4 linked regions of the Xenopus tropicalis genome follow. The main gene of each other region encodes a partner of the protein of the gene in region 4 in a complex. Links are inferred from orthologs where the notes say so. Each region holds a gene or a part of one and is shown on either strand. Other genes may lie near its edges. The genes, in order: wdr59, seh1l, castor1 and mios.

The links.
Region 1: the proteins of mios (region 4) and wdr59 are in contact, whole or in part, in a cryo-EM structure (PDB 7UHY), measured with the Homo sapiens proteins. The link is inferred for Xenopus tropicalis from reciprocal best matches to the Homo sapiens genes MIOS and WDR59. Residues at the interface, in NP_001357005.1 of Homo sapiens: Asp705, Trp710, His711, Arg713, Ala714, Ile718, Ser721, Lys728, Pro729, Leu730, Ala731, Gln732, Val733, Phe734, Val735, Ser736, Cys737, Asn738, Phe739, Ile744, Lys780, Pro781, Leu782, Pro783, Leu787, Cys788, Leu789, Gly793, Pro795, Gln819; in NP_085058.3 of Homo sapiens: Tyr871, Arg876, Glu877, Arg879, Ala880, Glu881, Leu883, Lys884, Pro889, Pro890, His893, Lys894, Gly895, Ile896, Glu897, Phe898, Gly899, Val900, Tyr901, Arg906, Glu908, Val909, Arg910, Thr912, Phe922, Gln923, Ala925, Ile926, Cys927, His928.
Region 2: the proteins of mios (region 4) and seh1l are in contact, whole or in part, in a cryo-EM structure (PDB 7UHY), measured with the Homo sapiens proteins. The link is inferred for Xenopus tropicalis from reciprocal best matches to the Homo sapiens genes MIOS and SEH1L. Residues at the interface, in NP_001357005.1 of Homo sapiens: Arg279, Arg316, Ser317, Phe353, Glu354, Arg355, Ile356, Ser357, Leu358, Ala359, Trp360, Pro362, Leu366, Met367, Trp368, Ala369, Cys370, Gly371, Arg372, Leu374, Tyr375, Glu376, Cys377, Thr378, Glu379, Glu380, Glu387, Asp389, Ile390, Ala391; in NP_112493.2 of Homo sapiens: Met1, Phe2, Val3, Ala4, Arg5, Ser6, Ile7, Ala9, His11, Lys12, Asp13, Leu14, Ile15, His16, Asp17, Val18, Phe20, Phe22, His23, Gly24, Arg25, Met27, Trp47, Ser173, Ser174, Ser175, Asn230, Leu231, Gly232, Arg233.
Region 3: the proteins of mios (region 4) and castor1 are in contact, whole or in part, in a cryo-EM structure (PDB 9LVK), measured with the Homo sapiens proteins. The link is inferred for Xenopus tropicalis from reciprocal best matches to the Homo sapiens genes MIOS and CASTOR1. Residues at the interface, in NP_001357005.1 of Homo sapiens: Ala83, Asn84, Val109, Pro110, Lys111, His112, Ala113, Arg114, Asp134, Lys135, His136, Arg137, Asn184; in NP_001032755.1 of Homo sapiens: Val94, Ser116, Thr117, Tyr118, Gln119, Thr120, Asp121, Thr188, Tyr236, Leu255, Thr256, Ser257, Ser258, Ala295, Tyr296.

What each region holds. Positions count from the first base shown.
Region 1 is NC_030680.2:74,564,596-74,568,900, reverse strand, and holds the start of wdr59 (GATOR complex protein WDR59), read right to left. Parts: upstream 2,830-4,305; 5' UTR 2,648-2,829; coding exon 2,594-2,647; intron 1,202-2,593; coding exon 1,152-1,201; intron 1-1,151. UniProt on the Homo sapiens protein: As a component of the GATOR2 complex, functions as an activator of the amino acid-sensing branch of the mTORC1 signaling pathway. The GATOR2 complex indirectly activates mTORC1 through the inhibition of the GATOR1 subcomplex.
Region 2 is NC_030682.2:103,472,736-103,476,298, forward strand, and holds part of seh1l (nucleoporin SEH1), read right to left. Parts: intron 2,371-3,563; coding exon 2,224-2,370; intron 1,108-2,223; coding exon 896-1,107; intron 184-895; coding exon 85-183; intron 1-84. UniProt on the Homo sapiens protein: Component of the Nup107-160 subcomplex of the nuclear pore complex (NPC). The Nup107-160 subcomplex is required for the assembly of a functional NPC.
Region 3 is NC_030677.2:144,403,200-144,407,432, forward strand, and holds the start of castor1 (GATS-like protein 3), read left to right. Parts: upstream 1-1,379; 5' UTR 1,380-1,616; coding exon 1,617-1,729; intron 1,730-4,233. UniProt on the Homo sapiens protein: Functions as an intracellular arginine sensor within the amino acid-sensing branch of the TORC1 signaling pathway. As a homodimer or a heterodimer with CASTOR2, binds and inhibits the GATOR subcomplex GATOR2 and thereby mTORC1.
Region 4 is NC_030682.2:34,373,340-34,376,902, reverse strand, and holds part of mios (GATOR complex protein MIOS), read right to left. Parts: coding exon 2,740-3,563; intron 2,142-2,739; coding exon 2,043-2,141; intron 1,372-2,042; coding exon 1,114-1,371; intron 67-1,113; coding exon 1-66. UniProt on the Homo sapiens protein: As a component of the GATOR2 complex, functions as an activator of the amino acid-sensing branch of the mTORC1 signaling pathway. The GATOR2 complex indirectly activates mTORC1 through the inhibition of the GATOR1 subcomplex.

The sequences.
Region 1 (4,305 bases), on a different chromosome or scaffold from region 4:
CCAGGTGAATACACAAAATCAGGCACCAAATGCAGAAGAGAAGATCATAAAACAGGCCGGGGTCAAATCAGAAGTCAGAGTCCGAAGTCAAGCCAAGGGGTAACCGAAGAGTAGTCAGAAGCAAGCTGAAATCAGAAGTCCAAGGATCAATCAGGAATACCAGAAATGATCGGTGACGATTGCAAGCAAAAATGATCACTTCGCAAAGTGTACAGGCCTCAGCGTCCTTAAATTCGAAACTCGCATGCGTGCAGCGTCAGTCGCGGGGTGCCCGTGAGCGGCGTACGTTCGGTCGTGTGCGCCCGTGCGCGGTGTCTTTTCGTCCGCACCGCCGCATACCATGTGCCGAAGCCGACCGATGGTCGCACGAAAGATCGTACAATCAACCACTAACCATTCACGGCTGAAACGGCAGATAAGGAGGTAGAAACAATAGGATTTCTACCTCCTTCTGCCGATTCAGCCCTGAAGGCAGATTTTGATCAGGCGCCTTCTATGGCGCCCGATCAAAATATTTTAACCTGGCCGATCGGCGAGTCGACCGATATCAGCAGCCTCCTGCGATATCGGTCGACTTGCCGACTTGCTATACACGCACCGAATATCGTACGAAGCGAGGTTTTGTACATTATCGGTGCGTGTATGGCCAGCTTAAGGTTAATATTGGTTTTATATAAACCAATATCAGTACAAACCAGCATGGTGCAAAAGTGAATAGAACAAATTTTATAGCAAATATGCACACTTGCACGGGCACAAGAATTACTGTATTAAAAGACAAAATAATCAAAAAGCTTTTTTTTTTTGTTTTACATTTTGTTTAGTTGCTGATGCAAATGTGCATTCTGATAAAGTAAGATATAAGTAGTGCACTCAGAATGCCTTAAACCAGATATTGGTTCTTATAACAGAAACCTAAATAAGTGCCCCACTGTCCAAAGGTCCCTTAGTTCCGTAGTTAGAATGTAAGTTCTTTTGAATCTTTCAATCTTAAAAATCCTGGCAATTTATACAGACAGAGATCCATAAAACAAATGCACTACTCTTGAACTGGTCACTGATGTCTCAGCTCTGTGTAATCAGCACAGTGCTATATCAATAAATGTATAAATACACTATGCACACTATTTTTTTCCTGGAAACAAACTTACCCAGAAAGTACAGCAAGCTGTCCTTGGCAATCGACTGACATAGCAGTTGCCTATAAAAACATTACATATTTGCAAGTTATGATTCTTTACATAATAAATAATACATTTATAGTGGATTTATTTTATATTTTCTTTTTGTGACCAGGATGAAAAAAATATTTTTTACAGAAATAAAACAACAATACAAAGCTATTAGGGCAGTAACTAGGATTACCTTATATAGTGTAATGGATGGGCCCAGATTAAAACCTAATGAGTGTATAATTTAGGCTTCAAGCTGTCCCATTATTCACCCTTATGGACAGTGGAGTGCTCAGGGCATACTTATACAAGCACAGGAAAAATATACACACTCCATGGAGATACTAGGGTTTGTATGTATACTGACATTTTAATATGAAACCTTGAATAAAATCATTTTTTATGTACTGGTTTTGTTACAAGATACTTCTTTCTATGGTTGCTTGTTTAACATGCTAGGCACTAGAACACATATATATTCAGTATACATATATACTGCTGCTTTCAAGAGTCTTAGGGGGGCAGCATTTTGCCACTCTTGCGAATTATCACTGAGGGATGGAGAGAAAACACTGCAAATTTTATTTTGATTAAAGAATTTCTCATTAACTCTGTATAAGAGCATAGATCACTTTGGTGAAACAAAGGTGATATATTTGTGCTACAAGTAAGGAAATGTTTCAGGCTCTTCCAGCCCTTTATCAAGCCTTTTAAGGCTTAATAGCGCTTGTAGAGCCCAAAATGTTGCCTTACTTGTGGCCCGAATAAATCGCCTTTGTTTCATCATTACGTGCTGCTGAGGCTTTCTTTCTTTCTACAAGGAGTGACCCTGGGCAGAGGGGATCATAGTTTTACACCCAGCGCTTCAATAGGCAACTATATGTGTAAGTGAAGCACTGTTACCTTGAGAGAGTGGATTAATCTTTAGTTTTTTTTTTTTTATTAAAAGCCAGTAATCCTGCTTGTTATAATTTTGGAATGCAGGAGAAAACAAAAGAACACGGAAACAAGGAAATGTTCAAATTCATTTTACCACACTAAAAATGACATGCCTTTTGGAACTTGTGCTACAATTCTAGATACTAGGACAAGCAACGTGACTGAGCTAAAGAAAAAAAAAAATATATATATATATACTGAACAGTAGATCACATTATTTAATAGGTCAACAATCTGACAATTGCACTTAATGGCCTCCTGAATATACAAAACACTATAAAACTAATTGTAAAGAGAAGTCCAGGCATACTGGAGCCATGTCTACCTCCCCTGACAGCTAAAAACTGACTCAATCATTAGGCGTCTACTACTAGGCATGCGCAAGCCACTCCCTTCTATCTGCCGATTTTTCTGTAGGTTGTTCAGATTAGAGCGCTCGATATTTGCAGTGAACCCACAGCTCCTGCATTTATTCCACTCACCTGCGAATCCCGAAATTCTACCACCACGTTCTCGCTGCTCCAGTGAGCCGCCATCTTTGCCTACTTACCAGGCGGCCGCAATAACAACAACAACGTCTTGCATCACGACGTCCTTGTCGCCGAGCAACACCTTAACGCCAGTGAATAGAGAATTCTGGGACTAGTAGTTTTTTCTCACATTGGCATGAAAACTAAAGACGATGTGGTAAGTGTAAGGAACAGTGTATAACACGAAGACATCAAAAGAAAAGGGCACTGCCTTAAAAATACAAATTTTATGTGGAGATAAAAGTTAGATTTTCGTCAACCTTGAAAAAAGGATTATACCTGGGAATACAAAAGATCAAAATCATACCTGAGTTCATGAACAATTTTAAGATAAATCTTTCTAAAAATGAATGTTATTGCGCTGTAGTTTTGGCATTTAGGTCTGGCTGATCTGTCATAACTAATATACACCATGAAACGTATTATCTGTTCATCCTGCTGCTGCTGTGATCCCTCCTTGCTTGTCTGATAAGTTATTGCTGGTCAAGCGGTGGTTCTCTGAAGTTTAAAAACCAATAACAATATAATAGGGATAATATACAATATAATAGGGATAATTTATTACTGCTTCAACATACCTCCCAACTGTTCCGATTTTCGCAGGACATTCCCTCTTTTGACAGCTTAACCCGCAGTCCCAGATTCTTACTGAAAAGTCCCTCATTTCCCTTTGATCTCTTGCACTGAAGCTAAAAAAAGATACAAATTTAATTAAAAGTAGCTTTTGGCAGAGAGCCCAGAAATCTGATTGAGCTTCACCTGCACTTAGAAACATTGTTTCTCGCTTTTAAGGCTAAGGCTAATGCCACATGAAGCGTAGGGCTGAAATTTTCGGCAAGCGGATAAACGCTTGCCGAAAATTCAGCCCTACGCCTCCTACTTGTGCCTGCACCCGAATGAATGGGATACGCTCAGGTGCAGGCACATGTAGCCGATATACGCATGAAAACGCTAGACTTTGCATTCTCTCGCGTTTTCATGCGTATATCGGCTACATGTGCCTGCACCCGAGCGTATCCCATTCATTCGGGTGCAGCAAAAAAATCCAGTAGCACACTGAAGATGCAAATCGTGAAAAAATTGTATTTTATTTGCCCAAGTACATAAAAACAAGCAAAGAGCAACGTTTCGGGACCCTCCGGACCCTTTCTCAAGCTTGAGAAAGGGTCCGGAGGGTCCCGAAACGTTGCTCTTTGCTTGTTTTTATGTACTTGGGCAAATAAAATACATTTTTTTCACGATTTGCATCTTCAGTGTGCTACTGGATTTTTTTGCTGTTGGATATTGACCCCCATGCAAGGTGAGGTTCTTCCAGTATTTGCACCTGATACCCGTTTGGGTAAGTTAACAGAGGGTTGAGCTCCCCAATACTGCTATTGCTATTCATTCGGGTGCAGGCACAAGTAGCAGGTGTAGGGCTGATTTTTCAGCAAGCGTTTTTCCACTTGCCGAAAAAATCAGCCCTATGCCGCGTGTGGCATCAGCCTTATGTCAGACGAGGCGTCTGGCATATATTTATGGCAAGCGGAAAAGCACTTGAGCGTATTACATTCATTCGGTGCAGGCACAGGTAGGAGGCAGATGGCGGTATTTTGGCAATCGATTTTCCGCTTGCCGAAAATATACGGCAGACGCCTCGTCTGACATTAGCCTAATTAAATAAG
Region 2 (3,563 bases), about 69 Mb from region 4:
GCCCAAGGAAAGTCACGCTTGTCGCAAAGTACGAAAAAGTCGCAAAAAATACGCACAGTACGAAAACTTTTTTGTATTCGATACCTTGTGTTCTCATTATATTCATAGATCTGTACTTTTCCCATGATATTTGGGCTGCTGTCGTCACTGCCTACAGCAATCATAGGAGAATGGGCTCGGGAGCTAAAACAACCAAATAAAAGAATAAATAAAATGTTTGATTCATAATATGAAACAAACCTTAATTTAAATATGAAATGCTAATAATTTAATAAGTGAACATTCATATTTTATTTTTCATTAAAAGGTACCAATAGGTATTTTGCTTTAAAGCTGCCATTTCAGCAAATTATAGCACAGTGTATAGGATGCATAGATGCACTGGTGGAGAAAATTCCTAATGTAACAAAGCTCTAATCAGCCGTTTTATCTGTAAACTGCTAATCCGACTAACTACCTTCTTTCCCTCGCAAAACTTCCTGCATGAACCAGAGAGTTAAAAAATGTATTTGTATGAAGAAAACCTTTGTTAAATATTATGTTTATCTATTCACTAAATGCGTGTTGAATACGGAAGAATACTGCCTCTTTACATGTCTAGTAAAACTTAATACTAAATTTGTAACATTTACAAAGTTTATTTTGCAACTATACCCAATGTTTAGCTGATTATATTTAGAAAGCTCATATGAAATTTCAATTTTAACAATAGTTCCCTTTAACATTTCAGCAAAGCTTTAGTTTGTCATATATGTAATGCTCCTTGACATGAGTAGATCTAGCATAAGTAGCACTTATGTAACCACTGATGTAAATAGTCTGCAAAGTCTCATTTGCTTTCCTATTTTCATATACACATTCAGAGATGTAACAAAGTAAATTGTTTATAACTAACCTAGAGGGATTCCAAGAGATACAACTGCAGCTCAGTTTGCATGAGATTTCATGCTGCAGGGACCACTGACTGAGGTTCATAACATCAGGGGCCTCATATATTCTCACCACTCCATCTGCAGAGCAGGTTGCCAGCATCAGACCCATGTGTTTTGGAGCAAACTTTACATCGGTTACAGATGTCCTGCTGTCCACTAGTGTTGTTCTTTTAACCTAAAGCAGAATCAGAATAAATAAATAATGGTGACCAAACATACATTTCCCCTTAATTTGGATGCTGCTCAAAAAGTCAGCGCTATGCCACCTCTAGCTTTTAACCTATTGATAAAGCAGTGTATAGAGTCACCAAACAACTTTTGTTTTCTGTTGGTGTTGGAGACCTCCATTAAAAAAATGATTGACATTAGGGTTTATTTAGGCATAGTGACACATTTCTGCTGAAATATTGAACATCACTATCCCTTTAAAAGTTGCCAATGTGTTTCTTAGTCATCAAATTCTGCTTCTTTTTATTCCAAACAAACCTTTGAGAGTGGCCAAAGAGTTAATTTTTACTTTAGTTCACAGCACTTTAAAAGATCACTGTTTTGTATTCCTTAGCTTAGATGTTGATGTTTGTGATGAAGTTGAAGGTTAAGCTTTCCTTTGATGACTCTTCCATGCAGATCATGTTTGTGTAAGCAGTGCTGTGCCATGAAACTATGCAACACCAGTCTTGCTCTTAATCTTGCTCTGTCAGATTGTCTCTAGACTTCCACAGTTCCCCTTCCCCTGCCATTTCTTGATGACATGGCGACAATTAACTTTGTCAGATGTTCGCACAGTTGCATTATGGAGTCCATGATTGTTGACTAACAGAGATTTCATTATGCTATTCAAATGTTAACAGTTGACAACTCCTAATAGATATTAAGGCCTAATGGGGTAATTAGGGTCAGGTGAAAGGGTGTCCAAACCTTTGCACATGCCATAATTTCTTGCATTTGTTTATACTTCTCTATGCTTTAAAGTTTGCAAAATAAAATGGATCTGTGAATTAATGTTTGCAAATATGCGGTTTCTGATTCAACTGTATTTGTTTACTATAAATTTACTAAATATTTAATTTGGAAAGGACTGCCCACATTTTTCAGACTGTACATACTGGGGTAAATTACAAATCTTCCAGTTGAACACTCATGATGTTATATATAGACAAAAATGATGCACATCCAGGTGTATATTGAAAAGGTGCAATCAAAATATAATTATCATATAATCATATATACAGTTTTCAAACAAGCTCAATACTGGGAAAAATGTGCTCATATATCTGACAATAGGTCTTACCCAATGACTCTGTCCGCGCAGTTTATCATTTGATTCACCAACTATTTCTTCCCACACTGCAGCAGTTCTGTCAAACGAACATGAGGCTAATACCTGGCCGAATTCTGGGTGAGCCCATGTTACCCGCCATACTGAACCACTGTGGGTCTTAAGAACAAGACAAAAATAACATTTTCCTTCCAGAATACAAAGGTTAAAGTAAATTACAAGCTGCTCCGACTGCTCTGTGCATTAAATACAGTGTATTTAAATATGTGTGCGTTTAGGAATAGCATGCTAATATTGAGGGCTGTGTTTTCTATGCAAGCACACAAGGTTTGTGCCTAGAGCAGTAGCAGAGGTGTATATAGCATTTTCTTTTTAAAGCTCCAGACCACCACTAGATTCTAGTGGCTAAATTAACAAACAAGATGAGGGGCTGAGTACCCAATTTCCACCAACTGGCACATGCACATTTACAGTATTAAGCATGCAACAATTGCATAGGGTAGCAACAGCTATTAATCCGCCACTCATAATACTGTAATAACTAATAAACTTTTTTTCATTATTGAAGCATGGCAGCTTTTCCCAGTAGTACCCAATCACTAAACCTTTTGCTCTGTTTAATGGCAATGGAGACATTTCCTTTCATTATACTGTCCCTTTAAAAAAGGACTAGCAAATTAGGCCCTAGTTAGTATCTGTTGATTGAACATCTAGAAAAACTATTTCCAGACAAGAAATGTCCTGTTTAATACACCAGTAAGTGCAAGGCAGCAGTATATTAAAATTAAACACATACGAAACAGTTTATTTACCGTATATACTCTAGTATAAGCCGATCGCCGAGGTACCTAATTTTACCTAAGAAAACTGGAAAAATTTATTGACTCAAGTATAAGCCTAGGGTGGGAAATGCAGCTCCTACTGCTTTGTTGTTTTTTTTTTTTTTTTTTTTTAACTGTCAGGCAAGTTTGGGAAGGCTAAGAAAGCTGCCATACTAAGTACTTGCCAACCTGCTGTGTGCGCTCCCCTGTGTGCTCTCCCATCCTGCTGTGTGCGTTCCCATCCTGCTGTGAGGCCCAAACCTTGGTTGAACAGCCCGTAATGCTGCCTTCAAGCTACTAAATAGCTGTTTGCTCCTCCAGAGAGCTTTCTATTGTCTAAGTGGCCCATAATGGGGACTTAGACTATTTTCACATGGAACATTTTGATTGTCTATATTTGTAGCGCGGTAAAAAAAATACCTGATGTCCACCACAGTCTGCTTCCCATTGACTTCAGAGCTGTGCAACTTGTCACCCAGCGTGGCTGAATATCACCCTAATACTTAACAGCTCATCCAAACAAAACAGCTT
Region 3 (4,233 bases), on a different chromosome or scaffold from region 4:
CAGTACATATGCTCAACATAGAATCCAATGACAATTGAGAAGAGCAGCTTTGATGTTTGCACCTTGGTCACTCACAAACACAATTTTGGAATATAACTTGGATGTAATGCCATATTCAGACAGTTCTTTGTTAATCTGCCCAGTAAGATTTTCAGCTGTTTTAGAAACTCCTGCCTCAAATTCGGATAATGCAATGACTTTGGCTTTTAATAGCCAGGTATTGACTACATGTAAAAAGTGGCAAGTTAGCACAGTATATGCCTGTTTATGGTGTTTGTCAGTCCACATATCAGTAGTGATTGCTATGCCATCTTCTAGTGCTTTTCTAATTTAGCTGTTTCTACAGCCTTCTTACATATAGTATTTCTGTGGGGAAGAATCATATCTGCACTAACAGATCCATAGGTAGCACCAATATTAATAAGTGACTGGGCAAAGCGCTTAAATCCTTCCTGTCACAATATCAAAAGGCCTAATATCCATACAGTACAAATCAACACATGAATCTAACAACTGTAATTTGACATTTACTGGAATTTTAGATACATCTTTTAGAAAGTATGACACTATAGGCTTTGTTGTTGCTGGCTCTGCTATGTAAGGAGAAGATGCTGCAGTGGTTCTACCTGTGGAACTTTGCCCACATATGTGTCTGCTTAGATTAGAAGTACCAGTCTTGTGACTGTCATATTTATAAAGTGCTTTGCATTTCACACAGCTTACATAGCCTTTGTATTTACATTTGTCTGCGCTAACTACCTCCCCCAAATTGTTTCCACACTATAGATTTCTGCATCTTTTTTCTGTTGTACTTTAAGTTCTCCACTTTGCAACAAATCACATGTATTTTTAATGTCACAAGCAGGTGGGATTTTCCTGGTGTGCCTTTGAGCTACTAGTACTAGATCAAGCTGAAGACATGTTTATTGTTGCTGCTCTCAAACCTTGCAAACCTGAAGAGGCAGAGAATGTTTGGGAGGCGAGGCGGTTCCATGACGTTATGGGCGGGGCCACAATAAATTCTATTGCTGATTGAGCAGCTGGGCGGGCAACAAACCACAGGGGGCGTGTATAAGGCTGCTCTCTCCTCTGAACAGTAATTGCTGGCAGTAAGGCACTGGCTGCCTGTGATACAGCATCAGGAAAGGCTTTGCGGGCAATAAAATTACAATGATAGGCAGTCGAGTAGCTGACTACCAGAGAGGGAACGATGCACACACTACTAGAACGTCTCTACTATTTAATGAAAAGTGTAAATTTGCCCTCAGTCCCTAACTTCTGCAGCTTCTCGCCCCTCCCCTTTCCCCACATCAATCAATGTTTTTTCCCTCAGTGAGCGATCTGCTATCCGTACCGCCCCCCCTCTGGTTCCTGTTACTGTCTGTTCAGCCTCTTCCATCCCATGGCCTGCAATACCTTCCAAGAATATCAGGTACCCGACCCGCACCCGCCATGAACATCCAATATTCGGGCCGAACCCACTGGGTTTCGGGTCAGCCGGCACATCACCCTGTGTGTCACTATGAGCCCGGCCCATGCTACTGATTGACACATCCCTTCCTAGCAAGGCCACGCCCCGTGGAGCACGCTGTGGGTCTCGGCTGGGTGTCCGTGCAATGGATCTACAGCTGCTGGAGCATCGGGTGCGAGTGACCAGCATTGAGAAGTGTGGCCTGTGGTTCTACACCCACCCGCTGGTCAAACTACTGTTCCTGAGGCAGCGCACCAGGTATATAAAGAACACACGGGCGGGGAGAGAGCCAAAGCTGCTGGGCTGTGGTACTCGGGGAGAGAGAGCACTATTGCCCCTAACACTGGCAGCACCAGCTGCATATGAGTGAGGAAGGGACCTGCACTGTAGATCATTTACGAGTTGCACGGCTTGCCCGACTAGTCCTAGAACTTGGCCGATGGTTCAGTCTCATTGCATTGCATTGCATCAGGGAACCATGTGGGGCAAGGACTGCACTTGCACTTGCCTTTGCCTTTTGATTTCATCCTCACTAGCGGTTAGTGTGGTTGCTATTGGTTACTGCACCTGTCTAATATCTGCACCTACAGTGCTGGCATCCTGCAACCTGTGCCTGGTATCCTTGCTGTCCTGCCATTGTGGGTAGGGTTCTCCTACAGCTGTTGCACTACAAATCCTAGCAGCATCCACTGAGCTCCTGAAGCTGTAGTCACATGGTGGGAGTTGTAATTGAACAACAGTTGGGCAGCTCATTTAGGGGCATGAATTGCACAGGCCAGGCAGCATGTTCTGAGTTTGGCTTGCTGCCCCTGGCAGTTTCCTGACATTCAGTCTATGTGAGAGCGTTTTATCAGCTGTGACCACTTGCTTCTATTCTGTAATGCACCGACTGATTAGTATTGGGCTCTGCATCCAGTGTGAGTGTGATGATGGGCATAGAGAAACTAGTTATGCCTGCATGCCCTGCTGTTGTGTTCCAGATCCCAGTGAGATCAATAAAGCATGGTTTCCTGCAGTGTGTAATAAATATATATATATATATATATATATATATATCATAATAGGCACTGTGCTACATACAATACAAGGTTCTTGGTTAACCGTTTTTTTTTTTTTTTTTTATAAAGAATTTCTGTAAGCGATTAATGATATGACCACATTTCATAAGACATCCCAGTGCTCACATACAAAGGCATCCTATACATTTGCACAAGATTAACTGTGTGACCTACAAAGACAGACACACTCTCCTCAGTGCAAGAAAGCACTCACTGTTACACTTAAACAATTAAAAGGGGGACCTAGAGTAAAAGAAAATGTGTGCTTCATTTCCTGTTATTTATCTTATTATTTAGTTTGCTACTTTGCGTATGAGTCACTTTCCTGAAATACAGTTATGGGATCTGCTATTAAGAAAGCTGGGGACCCAAGGTTTTTGGATAAAGGGTATTAAAGGGTCTTTCTGTAGCTTGGGGCACTGTACCTTAATGCTTGCAAAAACATTAAATCAACTCAGTAGGACTGTGTTGCTACCAATATGGATTCATGCAGTTTAGTGTCAAGTACAAGCTACTGTTTTAATATTACAGAGAAAAAGGAAATGATTTAAAAAAAAAAAAAATGCTTGTTTAAATTGGACATTATGAAAATTAAAAATTTGTATGTCAAACCTTTCTGGAGAATGGCTTTTCACATTAAAGAGTCTATATCTGTACCCATATTTACTTTTAAAATATATAGAACAGCTCATTCTCTCATGTTAAAACAAGACAGGTGTTCCTGTTCTCTTGCTAGAGGGCCGGTGACGCTTATCTACTAAGCAGAGTAGGAAATGAGTTGGTATGTCTGCCATTGTGGACTGCTTGTTTTAACTTGCTGGAGAGAACAATCTGTTTCTATTATGTAGATGTTTTAACTAAAACAATTTATGTTATAGCTAAAACAATGGAGCTTGATGTGTAGTAGCAATAGAAGCACACTCTCTTCTGGCTATAGATTGCACTTAGTGTAAAGTGATCCCATTCAGGGCTAGGTATCAAGTGGTGCTAAATCAAATCTAATAGTACTATTTGATGCAAAATTAACCCTGATTTATCTTAAATTGGAAATCTGCCCTGTACTGGACACATACCACCTGGATATGTTCCATTTGCTCCATATGTTGCTGTCCCATGTGATAAGTAACATTTTTCCATGGCAGTTTTATGTACTGGCTTTCTGAGCTGGAAATGGCTGTAACCTGGTTACTGCAGAAATTATACACCTGTCGCAAATGGATGTGCTTGTTCTTCCTGTGTGAGGCTATTTAAGGGAATATAGCATGTGGAGCTTTCTGATAACACCAGTGTAAAATGCAAGATACAAGCTGCACACATCAGTGGGGGTGTGCAACAGGTCTCCCCAAACCATCTCTTAAGATTGTGGTGGTGCATTGCAAGTGCGCCTTTCAGCTCTCAGTTGATCTCTGTTAGGGGTGATCATTTGGTGGCATTGGGGTTTTTCAAAGCAAGAAGTAGCAGAAGACTGCCTAACTGAGTTGGGATTTGATGGAATCTATACCTATCAGTAGACATGTTACATGTTAGTAGAAAAATGCCTACTGGGAAAATAGTCAGTAGGCCTATATTTGTGGGAAAGCCATTATGGTTTAGGCTCAGAGAATTACTGAATCCATTGATATACATTGAATTAGCAGTACATTTTCCATTACTTAAAAGGAGTTGTTCACCTTTAAATTCACTTTTTTTTTTTTAAACTTTGTT
Region 4 (3,563 bases):
ACAAGGAATTCTTCTCGTCAGTATAGCCTGACAGTGCCATTGCTACAACGTTTAGGTTTAGATTACCTACAATTTACAAAAACTGAGTTAACTTCAATGATCAATATCTCACACTTATGTTAAAATGTTAGTTAACAGTGACTTTCATCCATCAACCGTTCCCTAGCTCAATTAAAAACTCTCTACTGTTTTAATATTTTAAGGCCTCTTAAAGGTGCCCATACACTATAAGACCCGCTCGCTTGGCGATGTCGCCAAGCGAGCGGATCTTCACCCAATATCCCCACCTACGGGTGGGCGATATCGGGTAGCAAGAAACTTAAAAAAAAAATAATCCGATCGTTTGGCCCTGGGGCGAAACGATCGGATTACATTTGTAGTTATGGGGCAGTCGGTTCGGGGACCGCATCAACGAGCCGATGCGGTCCCCGATCCGACTGGATTTTCTAACCTGGCCGATCGAGATCTGGCCAATTTTAGGCCAGATATCGGTCGGCCAGGCCGCTCTGTTCTGCCCATACACGGGCTGATTAGCTGCCGAATCGGTCCAAGGGACCGAAATCGGCAGCTATAGTCGGCCCGTGTATGGGGACCTTAAGCCAGAAGATACACTCACCTAAAGGATTATTAGGAACACCATACTAATACCCTTCTCTGACCTCTAGAATCAACAAGGCATTTCGCCCACAGGACTGCCACATACTGGATGTTTTTCCCTTTTCACACCATTCTTTGTAAACCCTAGAAATGGTTGTACGCTCAAAATTGCTTAAATCACCTTTCTTTCCCATTCTGACATTCAGTTTGGAGTTCAGGAGATTGTCTTGACCAGGACCACACCCCTAATTGCATTGAAGCAACTGCCATGTGATTGGTTGATTAGATAATTGCATTAATGAGAAATTGAACAGGTGTTCCTAATAAACCTTTAGGTGAGTGTATAACTTGACTCGCTGGTGGAAAGGCCTACGTATTGCTGGTCACAATTATTGACCAAAAATGATCATCATGTATTATGACTAATGGCAGTTTCCAATGATGTCGATGGGAAGCAATCCAAGATCAAAATGCCCACTTGCCTTTAGCCATAAGGGTTGGCAAACAGCCACATACCTTTCCCAGTGGATGCTCCCTTATTTAAGATCTGTATGGCACGCCGAATGTCTCTATTAAACAGGGCTATAGCAGCTGCTCTCTCCCACTCTCCTTCCTGCTCCAAGGAGTTCAGAAAATGCCCCATGTCGGCATCAGCACCCTTTGTCCTCCAGCCACAAAGTTGTAGGGCAAGACATCTTTCCTCACTGGAAAAGTGCACAATATCTGCTTGTCTATCAGAGCCGGTCCAGCTGTGCCTGAAACTTTCAGTTGTCCCTTTATAGAACAGATATCTGGTTAATATTTGTCTTGTTAACTACCGATAATGCCTTGGGCACAATAAAACTTTAATTGGAATGCATCTGCACTAGTTTCCCTTTACACAACTATCCCTTGAAAATATAATTTATTAAACAGTAAAAAGAAGAAAAGCTGTATAAAAATAGTGAGCTATGGACATACTTCCCTTGTCTGCATTATGAATGTGCCTTACTCTGTCCCTCCCTTCTGTCTCTAGTCTTTACTATGAAAACAGGGTCCACCAATCACAATCCCCCATGTCAACTTTGTCAAAGTGCCAATGGAGAGGATTAACAATACTGCCAGCTTTAGCAGAAAAGAAATACTTATATTTGCCTTGATCTTATATCTGTTTGTAAAGTATTTACATTCCTTATAAGTTGTAAACTAGGTAAGCGGTACAATGTTTTGTTCAATGTATTTTTAAGACATCTGCATCAGCACTGAACTTAATAATTAGTGCATAAACAGGAATATTAATTCATTCTGTGTGTGCTTGTACAGGAGCTGCAAACGTATCAGTCACTACACTTTCTTTGGGAAATTAAACTTTAGATTTATGCCACCCACTTAATAACAAGTCCAGCTTTGGTCAGTGTTCCAGGCACGTAGGTTATAAAAACCAAAGTATTCATAATTGACCTTACCCATTGATGACTTTGTGATTGCTTTGATTCCAGCATACACCAATAACCCTTTGTTTCCTGAAGTTTTTTGGTCAATATCTTCTGCATACTGCTTCATAAGTGTTGATGTATATAGGAATTGTAAGCATGAAAACAGTAAGTAGTGATGCAAATACTGGGCAGATTATTTAAGGTATCTAGAACTGAGCATGCCCATTGCTGCTGACTATTTAGAGCAGGGGTCCTCAAACTTTTTAAGCAGGGGGCCAGTTCATGGTCCCTCAGACTGTTGGGGGGGGACTTAATTCCTCCCCCCGTGTCCTCATACTATGGCCCCCTCCCGGCTGCGTCCTCCTACTCTCCCCTGCTTCCTCCGGCTCCCCCCCGCGTCCTCTGGCTCCCCCCCCCCACATCCTCTGATCCTCCGGCTCCCCCCCCCCGCATGCTCCCGCTCCCCCCTGTGTCCTCCGGGTTCCCCTACGTCCTCGCATCAGATCAGAGTGGGGGCCGGGTAAATTACCTTGGGGGCCATATCCGGCCTGCGGCCCATAGTTTGAGGATGCCAGATATTAGATCAGTAAGCGACTTGCACTCAACATTCTAGTGCTGATGACCCTCACTGCCACTTGTGACCCCAGTCATCAGTTCTGTGGCCCTACAAAATCAGATGGTCTAAATAACAACTAGTAATTAATATTACAGAACTAAAAAAGGATATAGTGTAAAGTGTACCACAAGGATTTCAACTGAGGATCATCATTTCCTGCCAACAGATGATTTCTCCAGACCTGCTCTGTGTCGAGTCCATATCGTGATAAAGCTCTGAGTCTCATTTTAGTGGCTATATCTCGATCTAATGAAGAGCTGCATTTCCCTTCCTCTGTACATTCATACAGCTGCCTGCTGCAAGCCCACATCAGTGAAGTTGTGGGGCTCCAAGCCAAAGAGATCCTCTCAAACACAGTAAAATCTGACATTGACCTGTTAGGAGTAACGACCACCATTCGGTTTTGGCTTGTAGGGTGCCAAGCAAAAGATGCAATATAGTTATCACAAGGCTGGACACTCCTTTCAATGATGGTAGGCTCTGTTTCGTCCCCAATGGGTGTGGGAGTGTGCTGCATGTCATACAGTCTGATAATATTACTGTCTCTAGTCAGAGTAGCCAGCAGTCCAGTTCTAGTTGGGCACCAGGCTACTTTGGTTAGGGGTTTTGGTTGCTCTGTTAACGTTAACACTGGTTTTTCAAATTTTCGAAGATCCCAAATGGCGACTTGACCTTCAAAAAATGAAGCTACTCTGTCATGGAAATGCGGGTCCACTGTCACCCCTTGGACAGCTTTAGTATTTACAAAAATTTTCTGATTTGTATTCCTCAAATCAAATATTGCCAAGTTACGATGCATCCCAGCCAAAAGCAGTTTCTGGTCTCTCGGAAGCCAACAAAGAGAGAGGGAAGCATCATTCTGTCCTAATTCATAAAGTGGTTTGGTAACCACTGAACATGTTTCACTATCACCGGGTGCAAGACGGACTTTCTCC